Linked DNA regions of Caenorhabditis elegans. The protein of the gene in region 1 interacts with the protein of each later gene in a pairwise test. Each region holds a gene or a part of one and is shown in the gene's direction. Other genes may lie near its edges. The genes, in order: C06A6.2, sta-1 and trp-2.

What was found.
Region 2: the proteins of C06A6.2 (region 1) and sta-1 interact in a two-hybrid assay, tested with the Caenorhabditis elegans proteins (one large-scale study listed by BioGRID).
Region 3: the proteins of C06A6.2 (region 1) and trp-2 interact in a two-hybrid assay, tested with the Caenorhabditis elegans proteins (one large-scale study listed by BioGRID).

What each region holds. Positions count from the first base shown.
Region 1 is NC_003282.8:7,844,883-7,849,654, forward strand, and holds the start of C06A6.2 (MADF domain-containing protein), read left to right. Parts: upstream 1-1,739; 5' UTR 1,740-1,759; coding exon 1,760-1,816; intron 1,817-1,865; coding exon 1,866-2,028; intron 2,029-2,366; coding exon 2,367-2,508; intron 2,509-2,737; coding exon 2,738-2,966; intron 2,967-3,744; coding exon 3,745-4,152; intron 4,153-4,728; exon of another isoform or gene 4,729-4,772.
Region 2 is NC_003282.8:16,662,382-16,670,401, forward strand, and holds the start of sta-1 (Signal transducer and activator of transcription 1), read left to right. Parts: upstream 1-1,938; 5' UTR 1,939-1,940; coding exon 1,941-2,249; intron 2,250-2,345; exon of another isoform or gene 2,346-2,366; intron 2,367-2,621; exon of another isoform or gene 2,622-2,642; intron 2,643-2,725; exon of another isoform or gene 2,726-2,746; intron 2,747-2,828; exon of another isoform or gene 2,829-2,845; coding exon 2,846-3,190; intron 3,191-3,203; exon of another isoform or gene 3,204-3,224; intron 3,225-3,386; exon of another isoform or gene 3,387-3,407; intron 3,408-3,582; coding exon 3,583-3,710; intron 3,711-3,833; exon of another isoform or gene 3,834-3,854; intron 3,855-3,874; coding exon 3,875-4,112; intron 4,113-4,140; exon of another isoform or gene 4,141-4,161; intron 4,162-4,280; exon of another isoform or gene 4,281-4,301; intron 4,302-4,487; coding exon 4,488-5,134; coding exon of another isoform or gene 5,135-5,171; intron 5,172-5,281; exon of another isoform or gene 5,282-5,302; intron 5,303-5,347; exon of another isoform or gene 5,348-5,368; intron 5,369-5,549; exon of another isoform or gene 5,550-5,570; intron 5,571-5,607; exon of another isoform or gene 5,608-5,628; intron 5,629-5,823; exon of another isoform or gene 5,824-5,845; intron 5,846-6,033; and 16 more. UniProt on the Caenorhabditis elegans protein: Carries out a dual function: signal transduction and activation of transcription. Activated STAT proteins play a role in repression of dauer formation.
Region 3 is NC_003281.10:989,853-994,954, forward strand, and holds the start of trp-2 (Transient receptor ion channel domain-containing protein), read left to right. Parts: upstream 1-2,028; coding exon 2,029-2,240; intron 2,241-3,034; coding exon 3,035-3,107; intron 3,108-3,477; coding exon 3,478-3,576; intron 3,577-4,197; coding exon 4,198-4,542; intron 4,543-5,102.

The sequences.
Region 1 (4,772 bases):
TTAAACGCTGATGGACTACATTTTCTGTACGTTTCTATATTTTGTTGCTGAAATTTATGAAATTATAATATTTCCTTATTTTCAAAGTGCTTCATAATCTTAAGCCGACCATGAGTAGTATTAACATAAAGTCTAAAAAACCTGCAAATCTTCACTGGATCAAAAAATCAATGTTCTTGGAAAATCTGAAACTACGCGATTAATCATGTGCTATTTTGATTCAAAATTATATAAAATATATGTGATCTTTTCAAGAAATCCAAAAAAAGTTAATATACAATTGAAAGTCTAGGTGCCTGCCCATCTGGCACCGTACCAGTACATTCATCTATTGACCTGTCTTTTCTCATTCATCGAACAGATGGTAAACTAATATGTTTCTGAAAACAATACAGTTTTAAAAGGTATTTTGAAGAAAAAATATCACGGTTATCTGATATCTGATATCTACCAACCAGATATCTCCAGATTCATAGAAGAACCAGATATCTGAAATTGATTTTATATTAGATCTGAAAACTTTTATTTGACAACTCCATCTCAATTTCAAAAATCGTGAACCACACATTTTTCAGATTTGGATGTTCCATTTCATGATTGTCACGTAGGGAAGAATTCCCATACTTCACAAAACGGAATCTTTAAATGTTGTTTGCGATCACCTAGATATTCTTGGTTCTTTCGAGCCCGTGGGGCCTCGAGATGTCTTTTTTTGCGCCGCCCGCTACTATTGCTGGCTGCTGTGTCGTCTTCGTCCAGGGGGGCAAGGCACACCCTCTCCGCCTCCTTCCCCACCCCCCACACATCGACCACTCGACGTTCAAGAAACAACAGGGCAAACACGGAGGATAGAGACATCGAGATATTGTGTAATTTGAAGAGAGTCGATGACATAGAACGCGGCGAGATGTGGGCGGGGCTTGTGTTAAGTCCCGCCCATCGGCGGTTTGGAGAGAATTGATCGAGGCCGAGACGGAGGGCACGCTGTTGGGAGAGAACACACACAGACACACACACACACACACACACATATATATACACACACATACCCGGCCCGTTTGCATGTTTTGGGCTATTTTCAGAAATTTGCCAGATTCGTTGGCCAACCCAGAAAGTAGGCGTGGCCTTCCAGTATTGCCCATTTTCCACATTTTCAGTGCGTTTGGTGCTGCAAATGAGCATTTCCGTGATCTAGATTTTATGTCCAATGGGTTACAGTGCCTCATCATTGGTAAACTTCTGTTATTTCAGTTGATGGTGCATCTGCACTTAAGAATTTGACATTTTCAATTAACTCTTGGCGTTTTTATTGTTTCTAAAATCTTTTTTTTCTATTTGTACGCCAAATTTTGTACTGAAGGAACTTTGTAAACCCATCACACTAAAAATATCATATTTCTGTCAGGATTTATGCTATGGTTTTATAAACACCCAAAGTTAAAAATTCCTTATCTGTAAAATTCCCAACAGATAAATTATTTTTGGAATTTGGAAGTAAAAAAATAAATCGAAAATTTTGCAACTTTTTTCTACTAAAAACCCCCTGGAAATTAAATGGGAAAACTTATTTTTTAAAGAACTTTACCCTTTTTTTTCATTTTTCCCTGACGGCCTAGAAATTCTCATAGTGGCCAATGATTCCCACAATGTTCTCTGTGTCTCTCCGCTTCACGCACCCTCTCGTTATCTCATTTTACGCGTACCGTGGCGCGAACCGTGATTTTTTTTTGAAAATATTTTTTTGCAGAAATAAAAGCGGATGTTCCGGCAACTCAGTGAATTATATATAAGTACTCTAAAAGAGGCAAAAGAAAGGGTTTGATATACGACAATACACTTCAAGTACCAAAAAATATTAATTTCAGTCTCCACCCAACTTTGATGATACACCACGTGGTTTGTTACTTGCTCTCATTAAAGACCGACCGACAATTTGGAATTCTAGTGCACGATTAACAAAAGATGATGTTCTAGCTTCATTTCAACAATGTTCCGCAATTTTGTCAAATATGGATCCTGGTTATTCGAGTAAGAGTTTTATTTATTGAAAATTTAATAATTTAATTTGAAAAAAAAACCTCAAAATTGTAAAGGCATTATAAAAATTTTTAATAACGTAAAAAATCTGTGATCTTCAAAAGTTTTCAAAGAAAAGTAGGGAGACTTACTAGTTAGACAAAGTAACATTTTTTAGAACCTAACAATTGTAAATTGAAAATTATTTAGGTATCTGTAATTTTTTCTGTCCATGTGATTCAAGAACTTCATAAATTTTAATCTTTTTTGCATTTAAGAATTCCCAAAAGACCCAGAGATGAATTTTTGCTCTCTAATTTCATATCAAACTAATTTTTTCTTTATTGCAGTATGGGCGGTCATTGAAAAATGGTGTTGGGTTGTTGAGAGCTACGTGAGGTGCTCAGTGACGGCTCCTCCATCAGAATGGCGTTATAATAATACTCTTGATTATTTGAAGCAGTTTGCCACCACGAGTTATCCGTATTTAGGGTAAGTGTCTTTGATAAATTTCATAAAATATAAGCTTTTGCTAAAAACTGTCTCAATTTTGACTCCAAATAGAAATGTTTTGTTTCAAGCTTTTTGAAAATATGCCTCCATCAATTACAGTAATCTTATTGAAAATTTTTTTTAACGGAAAATAAATCGTTGTTAAGGCATTGCATTCCGTAATTTTTAATTTGGTTTTTATTACAAAATGTATGCAAAACAATTTCAGATGCCTTTCAAAGAAACGACGAAATGAATTAACGAAGCTATACAATGATCCGGAAATAAATGTAGTTATGCAAAAAACGGAAGAAATTGAATTTCCTGTAGGAATTTTCCGGGACGAAATGTTGTATCTTTCTGGAGAAGATCACTTAATGCAATATGATTTAGAACTGAGAACTGTTGGACAAGTTGTTAATGCAAAACGAAGAGGCAGGCCCTCAAAAGTCGATAAAGTATGTTTTTAAATTTTTAAAAATGGAAATAATTGGAAAAGATGCCTCTGAAAATTAAATGGACCGCCTTGATTATTCAAACGTTCAAAAAAAACATTTTGCCGAAGATACTTTTGAGCTAGATTAGACAAACTTTAACCTTAAAAATGTTTTTAATACTACAATCTTTCTCAAAAACCCGAAACCGAAAGTTTTCAACTTTGTTCAGAGAATAATGATTAAATTTATTTGTTGAGGGATAAGCATTATTTTAATTTGATCTTTGCGAGGTTCTAACGGAAAACCTCCATAAAAATAAAAACCGTCCAAAAGGTGTACGTCTTCAATTTAATATATATGGGTTACTGAAATTCTCCATTGCACAGATTTTTTTTGGTCTCTAATGATAACTATTTTGTTTGTAGTGAGTGCGCGTTTCGTATTTCAAAGTGAAAATTTTCACAGTGGTCAAGAATGAGCAATGATTAAAAAAATTAATTTTTTGCTCCAGCGCCAGTGCCGATTTAGTAAAATTACACTTATAATTCACCAAAATACGGAATATCAAAACAGTTTTGGCAAACTGCCAAACTTTTGACAAAGTTTTCCTATCTGAGAAATTTAATTGATTGTGGCTTATTTGAACCCCTGCAATGTTTAAATACGAATAATTAAAGTTTTTTGGTTGACCACCAAAATTATGAGTGACGAGAAATTGCCAGTTTTAACTAAAAGTTATAAAAATCCTCATACTCCACCTTTACCTGTTTATATTTCAATGTATTGTTTCATATTTCAGCGATCTCCAGTTGATAATTTCTATAATTTAACGCCACAATCTGCTCAATTTCAAAAGCTACTGGAGAGCAATATGTCAAGTGCATTCAGCATTGCTTTTGCCGAATCTGAATTGATTCCCGATGATTTAGGATTTTCACCGGCAATGTACATGGCTCTTATCGATATGATTCAAGATAAACCAGAATTATGGCAATCAAATCATCCTCAAAAGGATAATTTACAAGCACAAGAGCAATTGTTTGAAGATTTCGGAAAACAATTGATTATAAAGTTCCGAGATACAGCAGATATTAGTGTTCTTGAAAAGTTAACGGGCCCATACGTTCATCTTGTTTGGGAACGACTATTGGAAAAGTTTAAAGAAGAGGATAGCCTTGAAACAGTATCGAAATGGAAATATTATCAGGTTGGGTTTTTACTTAATTTTCCAAAAATATTATCGCCAAAAAGCCTTCATAAAATGAACTACCTATGAAAAATTATTCAGAAAGAGCTACATTAAAAATTCAATTTTTATGGAATTTAATCTAGTTCAATCATGATAAAAACCCTGTTTAAAATCAAAATTTTAGAATTATTTTATTCGGAATTTAGTACAGGTTCTAGTTTTCCAATAGCTTCCAAATTTTTATTCTAGCTGAAAAATAATTTGATTAAACATTTCTGAGTCCCAATTATTCACATTTTTACGCATTAGTTTAGTACTGTAGTTTGAATTTTTAACAAAGTTCGTTTCTATAGTTCTAAATTTCCTTTTCATCCTCCCAACTTCGTGCATTGTGCACTTCGGAACTGACAGCTGCCTACCAGCTGTCGCGGTCTCCACACCACTGGAGTTTTTTTTTCTGAATAAAAAAAATTGGAGCAGAAATATACGCAGCCAGGCTTATTCAACGGAATACTACCCTAAAGGTTTAGCAATTATTTGAAATTCTCGAAATATAAATTGGGAGAAAGTATATATATATATGCATGAACAGGGTCCGAAATAGGCCAAGTAAACGGGAAAGGGAATCTAGGTCGATT
Region 2 (8,020 bases), 8.8 Mb from region 1:
CCATGAAACATAAGCACATTTTCCAAGTTGGAATGCTCTGTAAAACGAAATAATTGATAGAAAAATTTCAATTTATATCTAACTGTAAATGACCCTTATTAGGATGTAATACAGAAGGATAATCGATAACAATTCATTTTCCATATTGAATATGAGTAACCTGAAACAGTAAACTTTTCATCCAACTTTCTGTAAATTTTGCTGTGCCTTTTGTGTTATTTCAATTAAAAATTGCCATTGATACTTGACTTATCTGAAACAAGATACATTTTTTCTAAAAATTTGAACTTGTAAGTCTTATAAGCTCTATTAATTACCTAGTTTGAACAAAAAACGAAACTTCAGCTCACTAACTAGTGAAATCGAACTTCGAAGTAATGTTTGACAATTTTTGCTTTCCGACAATAGCAGCATTAAACTTGAAAAAAATTTAAATATTGAGAAACATTATTCGATTCATATGTAAGCAATCTGAAACAATATATATGTTTTCTAAAATATTATACTACCTTCATTTTCAACACTGTATTACCCCATTTTATACATTCAGACAATATCAGTAATCTGAAACAGTATTGTTTTCTTCTCAAGTTTGAAATCTTTAAGGTTCCATATAGAAATAGCCCCAGTATAATTTTTTTTTCAATTTCTTTTTCCCGGTATATTCAGATTACTTGTCAGATTGTTATAAAATTTCCAGACTCTAAGCCAATTTTAAAACACGCAAAATTATTTCAGCTTGGCCGAAAAAAAATTAAAAAAAACTAAATTTTCGGTTTCAACACCACATTTTATAATCCTCAAAATGCTAGAACAGTAGTGAGAAATAATAATAGAACTTCATACACTCAGAATAAAAAACTGGAATAAATCTAGCAACGTATAAATAAAATGTTGGTATTTTTAAAGACAACTTGAAACAGTGGAAAAATGTTAAAATTTTCCAAAATTTCCGTCAAATCGTCGTTCACCCAAAATTTGAAAATTTTCCAGATTTTTCAAATTGTTTTCCAATAAAAAATATTTGAATAAAAACCACAAAAACATACATACTTTCGAACATTTTTAGAACATTTGAACAGTAATTTGTCGCGTCGAGACCCGATACAGTAATTTTCGCGCAAAATTTCACGGTTGGGTAATACAAGTAGAACCTTAAATGTTCATGTTCAGCTCATTTTATAATAACTTGAAAAAACCACTACTGTTTCAAAATTAATTTGAACGATTTTTTTTTTGAAAAAAAAAACATATTTTTCTCTAATCCCTCAATAATATCTCCATTTTTTTCCGTCCCCCCAATCATCACAGATATCAGCTGAGACAGGGGAAAAGTGGTGTGAAAACACACAAGTCTCTGCGTCTAGCGGTGTGTAACACTGTCTGCGTCTCTGTGCTCTCTTTGATACTCTCTCCCGTGTGTGTGTGTGCTCCTGGAGCTCTTATACATTTCCAAGTGTTTCTGCTCTCTGCATCTCTTGCCCATTTTCCGCTTTTTTGAGCCAACAACTTCTCATTAGTTTTTTCCTTCGAGTTCTTGTGCAGAGCCACGGCTCTTTCAACAACTCGCACAAATTGAAAGTTTTCGCAATTTTTTCTTGCATTGCACGTACATATTTTCTTTTTTTTTTTCATAATTATTGATGAAAATGAATATGTTTTGTCAAGCGAATATGCTACATTGAAAGTTTTCAGAAACAGTGAAAAATCAAATTGAAATTAACAAAATCTTTCAAAATTTAATCACTTATTTGAAACAGTAAAAAATTTTTTAAAGTATACGTCGATTCTGAAAATACACTGAAAATGAAATAAAATTCTTGAAACTGTAAAAAAATTTTTAACCAATTTTTTTTCACAAATTTTTCTTTGAAAACGTTTCCTTTTTATTACCTCCTTGTCTTCCCATTCCCTTCATTAAAAATCTGAAATTTCCAGACATGATGGGCTCATCGTCGCAAGAGCTTCAAACAGCTCTAACCGACGTCTCAAAGACCTGCCATCACTTGTGGGAAGAGAATAAGGACCTCCAAGGCAGATTTGTGAATGAACTCGGCGAGCTTCAACGTCTGCAAATGGTCATTGCACAGCTGGAACAGCAACAGAGACTAGAAAATGTATTCACTGTGAAACAGCAAATGACAGAGTTACAGAAAAGAGCAGCCACACTTTATGAGCATTTGACACAGAAAAGAAATGATATTGTCATTAAACTTAATGATGGCACCAATTTTGCGACGATGCTACAGGTTGGTTCTTCTAATGTGAAAAAATATGAAAAAAACATAAAAAAAATTTTACTGTTTCAAAGTTTTGTGAAATATGAATTAAAATTTTTTACTTTACTTGACTGTCGAAGACCATTTCCATTAAAAAACTCTAATACAAGATTTACTTTTTTGAAAAATCCTTCAAATTTTGAAGAATTTTGCATGTTCAGTAAATTCATGCTAAAAATATTTTTATTCTTTTAATGTTTCAAGTGAATGTTTTGTTTAAAAAAAGCATTAAGAAATCTTTTAATATGAAATTACATCAAAAATGAACTGAAATACAAAAATTAATTAAAAATTTAATGTTTCCCATGCATTTCATATATTGAACGCGCGAAAATGTCATACTTTAAAACTGGCCTGCAATCTAGCTCTCTTATCTGAAAAAAAGTTAGTTATAATATTTACAGTTTCACACTTTTATCAAATTTAATCTTTTTTTTCCTTTTACATTGATTTTGCATAAAATTTGACAATTTTTTTTAAAGAGAAATATTTTTAAAAAAATACTGTTTCACAGTTTAATCAAATTTTCTATGCGTTGCAATATTTTAATCAATCTTCATTTCCAGACCCAACTAATTGGCGAAAAGCTGTTCTCCTGGAAAAATGCCCAAAAACTTGCCCAAATCGGAATGCCTTTCGATAATCGCGAACAGCTGCTTGATGAAATTCAAATTGAATTCGAATTTCTCGCTGATCAAAACTGGCAGCTTAACATGTTCTCGTGTTGGATGCTCGACTTGCTCCGACGTGCTCCACAGTTAAATGATGGGCTCGCTCAGGCAACAATTGGAAAGTTGACTGCAATTACAGAACAATTGAACAAATTACTTTTTATGCTGGTTTCACAGAGTTTTATTGTTTCCGTTCAACCGGAACCTGTTTTGAAGACTCAACATAAATTTGTCACTGAGGTTTGTTTTTTAATGGAAATTATACATGTCAAATTTTGGTGGGTCCCGCCGCGAAAACCACACCGTCGTGACGAGACCCAACTTAGTTAGAATTCAAGCAAATTATAAGAAACAATAAAAAAAAATTCAAAAATTTTAATTAAAACTTTACCGTTTCAAAAGTCATTCAAATAAATATGTAAGTCATACTCAACAATTTTATTTAAGAAGTTCAATTCGAATATAATGTGTGCCACGCATTTGTTCAGCTTGAAAATTTCTGGGTCCCACCACAAAAACTACAGTTCCACCCCACCTAATTTTACGGGTTACTGTAGTTTCCGCTGTGGGACGCAGCAATTTCAGAATCCTGATTTTTCAATAAAATTACAAAAAAAAACTAAAATTTCCAGGTCCGTCTTCTCATTGGCGATAAGCTGGGAATTCGTCAACACCTGGTGAACACAAATGTTTCAGTGAAAATTATAGCAGAAGATGAAGCCAAGCAGTTGAGTGTTGACTATGATGCACATAAGGAAATGTGAGTTTTTTTTAATGAAAAATTTGAAACAGTAAATTTTTGAAAAATTGAGAAAATTTTTTTTTCTAAAACTTATACTTTTTCGTATTATTTTTATATACTTTTCTTATTTTTTGTGGTTAATTTGTAGTTGTATCACTATATTCAACACTAATATTTTTCAGCCGTAACAACAAGACAGTTGGCACAATTTCCAATGATTTCGAGAAGCTCACAATGAATGAAAGAGGACACTTGGCGGCAAAATTCAATAATTCAAAATTGACAAGAATTGCACACAGAAAACCGCCCCCAAAAGGAGCATCTGACTTGAAATGTGCAGCAAGTATGCAGGCAGCTACTGATCAGAAATATGCTCTTTTATTCTTTATTACACCTTTTCAAATGGGTAATTTGAGCAAAGTAAGTTGTTGATATTTCAATTATGACTTGATTTTTTTTGAACGTAGTCAGTAACTCAAACTCAAATGCAAAATCTTTTAAAAACAACGTGAAACAGCAAAACATTTATTTTTTATTTTTTCACTGTTTCAACAAAAAGTTTAAAATTTATTTCAAAATTTGAGTCTGATAAACGAACAATGGTTGAACCAAACATTTCCAACATTTCTTTCGGTTTTCACTTTGAATTACTGAAATTTTCTAACTGGATTAGTAAAAGCAGTAATTCTATATTCAAAAAAGTGTAAAGAAACTTGAGAATTTTCACTGTTTCAGCTACTCTTAATTTTCAAAATTTAATATGTCCTCCAATTTCTATCAATTAAAATTTAACAGGAAGAACAATTCGACGTTTGGACACTTTCTCTTCCAATAATGGTTACAGTACACGGATCTCAAGACTGTGACGCGCAAGTTGCAATTCTCTGGCACCGCGCATTCGCCTCAATCAGCAGAAATCCAAATACAACTGATGTGACAGCTGTGACATGGGACAATCTAGCAATAATGCTTCGAAACAAGTTCTCCTTATTCACGGGAGCACGTCGTCCACTTTCAGATTCAGATTTGGCATATTTAAGTGAGAAAATGTTAATGCCAAATGTGGCAGATCAGAAGCCAATCACATTTCATCGATTCGCAAAACAGGCAATGAGAGATGACTTACCATTCTCATTTTGGGAATGGTTTTTCTCAATAATGCAATTAATCAAACAAAAACTGCTCAAATTCTGGGATGAGGGATGGTGCATTGGATTTATTTCAAAAAATGATGCGTCTCAAAGTATGATGATGTGTCAGCACTCTTCATTTTTATTGAGATTCTCTGACAGTCAAACTGGTGCTGTATCGATTGGTTTTGTTTGTGAAGAGGCTGATGGACAAAAGATTCCATTTCATTTGGCACCTTTTACTATTAAGGATTTGGATCAATTGTCACTGGCAAGTCGTATTGCTTCATGTCCACAATTGAAGGATATTCGGTTAGTTTTAGACGCGAAAAGTTTACCATGTTGTTAAGTATGCTTAGTTACGGTCAAAAATGGAAATGTTTAAAAAAAATTGGAAAAATGAAAAAAATTATACTGTTTCACTAAATATTTTATGTGGTTAAGAAATTGGACAAAAAATAAAAAGTTCAAAAATACTACTTTTTCATTGAAGAATCATAAATAGCCTCAATTGCAATAGTTTGATATTTCTGTAACCACGAAAGTGAATTGAATTTTCACGCGATTACTGGGACGTAAGTATCGTACCTGCCTACGTACCTGCCTACCGCCTATTTTCTGCGCCCTGGCGGGAAATTATGTGATCTATGTTCTCACCGTCCAAAAAAAAAAAAACTTCAACTGTTTCACTTAAGAATTATATAAGTTGTTCCTTCTTTTTTTAATGTTAAGAAAATACTCCTTCATCTTTTCTAATTATTATAATTTGATTAAACTCTTTTCAATCAGTGATCAATTTAAACAAAAAATGTTAAAATTAAAGTCAGAAGTGCCAAATAAAAAAAAAGGGTAAATAAAAGTTAATTTTAGGAGTGAAAACTTAACAAGATGTTAAGTTTGTTCAGTTACAGTAAAAAATAAGTGTGAAGAAAATTGAAAAAATGAAAAAAAATTATACTGTTTCACTAAATACTTTTATCATTTGGTTTGAAGTTATTGCATTCTTATTGCATTCTCTTTCATAACAACAATTTTCGGGTCTTACCACGTTTTGAAACCTTTGAATTTCAAAATTTTGCTATGAAAACTGGCACATTTAAACAAAACAAATATTTTTTATGTGGTTAAGAAATTGGAAAAATTTGAGAAAAAGTTCAAATTTTCTACTGTTTCATTGAATAATCATAAATAGCTTCAATTGCAATCGTTTGATATTTCTAATCTTTGTGAATCACCCTGAAAAATATATATAAATAATGTTCACATTTTTCACATTCACATCAGTACTAAGAAATACACCTTCTTGCCTTGTGCTTACCTACCTACCACCTATTTTCTGCGGCCCGGCTGGAAATTATGTGATTTATGATTTCACCGTTCAGGCTGAAGCACTTTTGATAATATTTCTGAACGTGGATATAAATTATGTCAGCAGTTATTTTGAACAAAATTAACAAAAATTTGAAAAAAAACTTCAACTGTTTCACTTAAGAATTATAAAAGTTGTCCCTTCTTTTGTTAATGTTGCAATTCCGAAATACTTATTACAACAAATGCATCATTATAATTTGATCTAAATCTTTTGAAACTGTGATCATTTTACAAAAATATTCAAATGAAAGTTAAAATTGCCAATTTAAATAAAATACAGGAATTTAAAAAAATTTTTTTTTTTTCTATTGTTTCACTAAATAATTTTATATGGTTTTTTTCATTGAACGATATTGAAAATGGCATCAATTGTATAATTGTTAAATACACTTTTCTCCGTACTTTTTAGGTCTCATCACCATCTCGATACTGTGATTTTTAATAATTTATTATAAGAACTGTCAGCACAGCAGTTTTGAACAAAAAGTTTCATTTCCAAATATTTCATTTTTCTACTGTTTCATTGAATAATTATTAAAAACATCAGTCCCATTTTTCTGATATATTTTTTAAAAATATTTTTTGGATCCAATTAGTAAACATCATGAAAGTACATGAAATGTTAACATGAACACTTTCTATAACTGGACACCTCCTGCCTGCCTACCTACTTGCCTACCGCCTATTTTCCGTTTTTACTCCAACTGTAATTTTTTGAATTTTCTCGTTATAGGCAAAAGTGGGTTACAAATGACACTTTTTAAAATTGGATAATAACGGTGTGAAAATAGAATGAATGCAGAAACATGCGCTCGTGAATAATAACTAACTGAAACTGGGTGGAATTTTTACTAAAATAAAATCCGGAAATTGTGAAAACTGCACGGAGTAACTCAAAAAACTAATCGTTTTTATAAAAATTCTAAGGCAAAAAAGTTAGCCTGTCTGCCTACGGTGTAATTCTTCAAGAAAGTCAAATTTTGAAATTAGTGAATTAAAAAAAAATTATGCTGTTTCAGGTTGTTGATAAATTATCGGTTAATTTCTAACATCAGTAAACATCTCACATCTGGTCGAAAGTTTGAAAATATTAGATACAATCGATGTAAGGGCTGCTATGTTGGGCCGAAAATTACTGTTTGACTATAGGCAAGCTACGCCTGACGTGTGCCTTCTACCAGGGGAAGAATGTGTTTCATTTCTTTGCCATTAAATTAATTGAAATAATAACACTTACATTTAAATTTTCGGCTTAGTTGAAACAATGGTAGGCAGCAATGTAGGCAGAACGACTTGCCTACCTACAGCTTCAACAAGGCCTTAGCGCCTACTTAGAAAGCCTGATGAATTTAAAGCAATTTATTTTGGAAAAATGCCAAAGCATGTTTCAAGTTGTTCATTTTTCAAAGTCTAATATTCAAAAATATTAGTGAATCACTCAGTTTTTTTTTGAAAAAAAAACAAGGTCTCGCAACGGTTTATAATTCTTATTTTACTTTGAAAAATAACCGCCAGCCTATTAAAAATACGAATTAAAAAAAAACGCAAAATGAAAATATTTTTCTGTTTCACTGAAAAGAGATAAGATCATGGCTTAGAATTCGGACAATGCCTCTTCAAAAAATGACAAAAAATGTTTCAAATTGTCTATTTGTAAATCATGTTTCTGAAAAATTTAAATTTTTCCAGAAGTCGCAGATTTTAGAGTCGAGACCCAATTTTTAAGGTTTGACAAAACATTGACTTGAGCTGTAATCTCTCAAAATACATTGTAGACATGTAAAATGTGAAAATGTTTCTACCAATAGAAATTGAAATTAGAAAACA
Region 3 (5,102 bases), on another chromosome or scaffold:
ATTTCTCAATTTTTGTTCTTTTTCACCCCCTTTTTGCTCCAGAATCCCATCGTCGTCCCCCAATCATGATGGCTTAAGACCCCTCCTAATGAAACATTTTTCATTATTTGGTTTTATGGAAGAGTCTTGGAGTCCTGGGAAATTTTTTGAATTTCTTACATTTTCAGCTTATATATTCCGTCAATTTTGAGTTCCGACACAGCTGAAAGCATAGCTACCGTACCCCGCGTGGCGAGACCCAAAATTTTTTAAATTGACGGAATATAGGCTTGTTGGGGGTCATTTGAAAGCTTACAATGTCCTAATCATAGAAATTTTAGTTTCAAATCTAGAAAATTAAACAATTTTTAAAAAATTGGGGAAAAATCTTTTCTTTTTGTTTTTTTCTGAAAAATCGTTTTTTGAAAACTTTGTGTGAAGTGTTGGTTCCTGATAGTGAGCATTTTCATAAAAATTTTTGACTTCCTTACATTTTCAGCTTCAAAATGACCCCCATCATGCCTATTTTCCGATCACTTTGGGTTCCGACACAGCTGAAATCAGAGCTACCGTACCACGCGTGGCGAGACCCAAAATTTTAAAACTAACGGAACCCAGGCATGATGGGGGTCATTTGAAAGCTAGAAAAAATCTTAACTTGATTTTTATAATCTCATTTTTATAAACTTAATTTTTTAAAGAATTTTTGGAAAAATCTTTTTTTTTTCGGAAAAAAATAGGACAAAAAAATTCAACAATTTTTTAATAACTTTTAATAACTTTTTGATCTCATTTCAATTATTTCCAACAATTTTTCCTGTCAAAGTCAAAAACTACACATAATTGCTGTTAAACTTTGCGGAAAAGTGATGGAAAAAGCGCAAAAATTATGAGCGTCTCCGGGAGAGAGATGTGTGTTTTAAAACGCGCATTATTATGCTCTCGGCGGAGCTTGTGAAGCTTAAAGTGTTTTCTGGTTTTAGTAATAGGGTTTTTAGAAAAAAAATTGTGTCGAAAATTTATTAAAAATTTTTTTAAAATGTTTTGCTGCAAATTTTTTTAATTCGTATTTTTGCAGCTTTATTCCCTATTTTTCGAATTTCTCATTTTCCTGGCTTCAAAATAACACCCATCATGCCTAGTTCCCGTTAATTTTGAGTTCCGACACAGTTGAAACCACAGCTACAGTACCCATCGTGGTGAGACCCAAATTATAAAAATCGATGGAATATAGGCGTATTGGGGGTTATTTTAAAGCACTCGATATCACAAATGTAAATAATATAAATTCAAATTTAAAAAAAAAACCAAAAATTAATAAATTGTGGAGAAAATATAAATTTCTTCAAAAATTTTTTTTTTGAATATTTTTTGAATATTTTTTAAACACCCACTTAATTGTAGGTTTTTTTCCGTATCAGTTTTTGAACTTTTTTATTTTAGCTTCAAAATGACACCCATCATGCCTAGTTTCCGTCAATTTTAAGCTCCGACACAGCTGAAACCACAGCTACAGTACCCCGCGTGGCGGGACCCAAATTCTCGAAATCAAAGGAGTATAGGCAATATGGGGGTCATTTTGAAGCTATTGTCGTTCTGAAATTAATAAATAAACTTCTTTAAAGATTTGAAAATCGGTTAAAAAAATTTTGGAGGATTGAAAAAAAATGTTATTTAAAAAATGTTATCCAAAAAAAATTTAATACAATTTTTTCAGTATTAAATTTTAGTGTATTATCTTTTTGAAATATTTTTCAAATCAAAAACGTCCCTAACTAAAATACATTTTTCCGTCAGGCGATCTGGAGAAAATAAAAATATTGTGCTCTAAAAAGTGTCAGATTTCAGATATTTTATGACACTTTTTCTTTTTTTTTTGTAATTCCCTCCAATTTTAAAATTTTTTCATAAAATACGTGGTTTTCTGATGCCCTTAATTTTAGCGGTAAATTTTAAAAAAATTCGGAATTTCTTTGTTTTTTAATTTTTTTCAAATTTCGTCCCAAAACATCGCAAATTTTCCCTAAACCCTTCCATTTTCCAGCCAAAATGACATCATCAGAAGCATCCGAGTTTCGGATGATTGAAGATGACGATGACGTCAGCAACAATGTCACGTGGACCGAGTCGGACAACTCGCGGCTCCGCGAGAAGCAGTTCCTGCTCTCCTGCGAGCGGGGAGATATTGGGAGTGTTAGGAAGCTTTTGGCTGGAATTTCAACGGAAACTTTTAATATAAATTGTTTGGATCCGCTTGGCAGGTAGGTTTGATAAAGTTTGAAAAAATTAAATTTTTGAAAAAAAATTTTTTTTTTCGAAATGTTGCAAATTTCTTTACAATTTCTACAATTTCTTTCTTGAAAATAAAAATTTGAATTCAGCACCCCGAGAGCTTTCAAATAAGCCTCATCATGCCTATGATTTGTCAATTTTGAAATTCGACACAGCTGAAACCATAGCTATACTACCCCGCGTGGCGAGACCCAAAACTTTCAAAATTGATTAAACTAAGGCATGATGGGGGTCATTTAAAAGCTGAAAACGTCGATAATTTAAATTTTTTGAAATTAGCTTGAAAAATGGAAAATTTTGCAAAATTTGAGGAAAAAAGAAAAAATTTTTGTTTTTTGAGGAAAATTTTCTCGAACTTTTTAAATTTTCTCATATATTTATTTGCATTTACGATACAAAAAGCTTTCAAATTACATCCAACATGCCTTGTTTACGTCAATTTTAAGTTCCGACACAGCTGAAATCAGAGCTACAGTACCCCGCGTCGCGAAACCCGAAAATTTCAAAATTGACGAAACTTAGGCATGATGGGGGTCATTTAAAAGCTGAAAGCGTTGTAAATTCGAGTTTTATAAATAAAATGCAATAGCTCTAATATTTTTTCGAGAAAATTTTGAAACTAATAAATTTTTGAAAAATTTTTTTTCAACATTTTTTAAACTTTTCTTTCCCCGAATAAAATATATTTTATAGCATAGTACACTTGAATTTTTACGGGCTCCGCGAGTTCCGGTTTATATCTTATTCCCCCTCCCGGTTGCAGAAACGCGCTTCTCATCGCAATTGAAAACGAGAACATCGAGATGATCGAGTTACTATTGGACCACAATATTGAGGTTTCGTTTTGCACACTTTTTTAAAGAAAAAAAGCATTTTTAAAATGTGCTCGAAAAATAAGCCTAAAGTGAGAAATTCTGGAAAAAAAAATTTTTTTTTGAAAATTTTATTTGGAATTTTTTTTTTGGAATTTTTTTTTTGGAATTTTTTTTTGAATTTTTTTCGAAGCCCTTAATTATTTGTTTTGAAATTTATTATTGTATGTCACAAAAACAATTTCTGCAACAGAAGCCAAATTGAAAATCTGGGCAAAAAAAAATTGTTTTTCACAGATTTAAATGTTTTTTTTTTCAAAAAAATTGTTCTACTTCGAAAATCTAAATTTTTAACTCATTTTTTGTTTAATTTCCAAAAATTTTACAATTTCAGACCGGCGACGCAATTCTCTACGCAATTGGAGAGGAAAACGTGGAGGCGGTGGAGATCATAGTGGAGCACCTGGAAAAAATGGACAAATTTGACTCGGAGGTACTTTTTTCGAATTTTTTATATGAAATTTAACGTAAAATTTAGTTTCAGCGCACTGAGAGCTTTCAGAAAAGTATAATCATGACTGGGTTCTGAGAATTTTTAATTTTTCGGGAAAAAAATTGGGTCCCGTCGGGAAAAAGTCTCGGGGTACTGTAGGAAGCGAACTTTTCATTTTGGATTAACTTTTATAACAAATTCAGATAACTGGGTTAATTTTGAGATAGGTTTCAGGAAAATTAACCGAAAACTGAAAAAGGTACGAATTTTCGAAAAAAAATTTTTTTTTAATTTTCACAAAATGTTTTTTTTAGAAAATCTCTCAAATTGAAATTTTGAATTTTTCACATTTTAAGCTTCAAAATGACCCCCATCATGCCTAGTTTACGCCATTTTCATGTCTTGACACAGCTGAAACATAGCTACCGTAACCCGCGTGGCGGGACCCAAAATTTCAAAGTTGGCGGAACCTGGACATGATGGGGGTCATTTGAAAGCTCTCAGTTAGCCCAGTGCAAATATTATAACATTTTTGTTAAAAGTTCAAAAAATTGGTTAAAAATTGTACTTTCAAAAAAAAAACATTTTTTTTTGAAAATTTGAAATTTTCTGAAATTTCAGCGCCAAGGAGTGGAGATCACAGAGCACTCAGCATTTACTCCAGACATCACACCAATAGTGTTAGCAGCTCACAAAGACAATTACGAGTGCATAAAGCTGTTTTTGGACAAGAAGGGTACGGTACCCCACCCCCATGACGTCAGATGCTCCTGCCCCGAGTGCTACGTGGCAAGGGAAGAGGATTCTCTGCGACTTTCTAGGTCACGGATAAATGCCTATAGAGCACTTACAAGCCCGTCGCTCATCTGTCTTTCCGCTCGAGACCCGATTTTGTACGCTTTCGAGCTGAGCTGGGAGCTCAAGCGGTTGAGTTTTATTGAAAATGAGTTCCGCACAGATTATGAGGTGAGTTGGGAGGGGAAACAGTTTTTTAATAGGATAGAGCATAAGAAGAGCTTTCAGAAAAGCTTAAATTAGTATAGGTTTCAGTTGGAAACTTTTCTAAAATTTTGGGAAAAAACCAAAAAAAAATTTTTTTTTTGAGTTTTTTTTTTCAATTTTTTTTAGTCTCAAAAATAGTGAGATACTGTTTTTGTGTCATTTTTTGCATTTTTCCCATAAAACTTAAGCTTCCGTCTATTTTTTTTCTCGAAAAATTAGCTAAAAATCTTCAAAACTAACAAGGTTATGAATTTTTGAAAATTTTTTAAAATTCAAAAAAAAAATTTTTTTCTAAAATTTAAAAATCGCTAACTCCGCCAGTTTTGTGCATTTTCCGCAGTTTAGTGTAAATTGAAAGAGATTTTCTAGATTTTGTGATAAAAATACTACCAAAAACATTTTTCGTACTAGATACAGTACCCCAAGAGTTTTCGTGGTGGGACCCAAAACTTTTAAAAAATTTCTGAAAACATGCAGAACCTAGGCATGAATATACTTTTCTGAAAGCTCTCATAGTGCTTAAT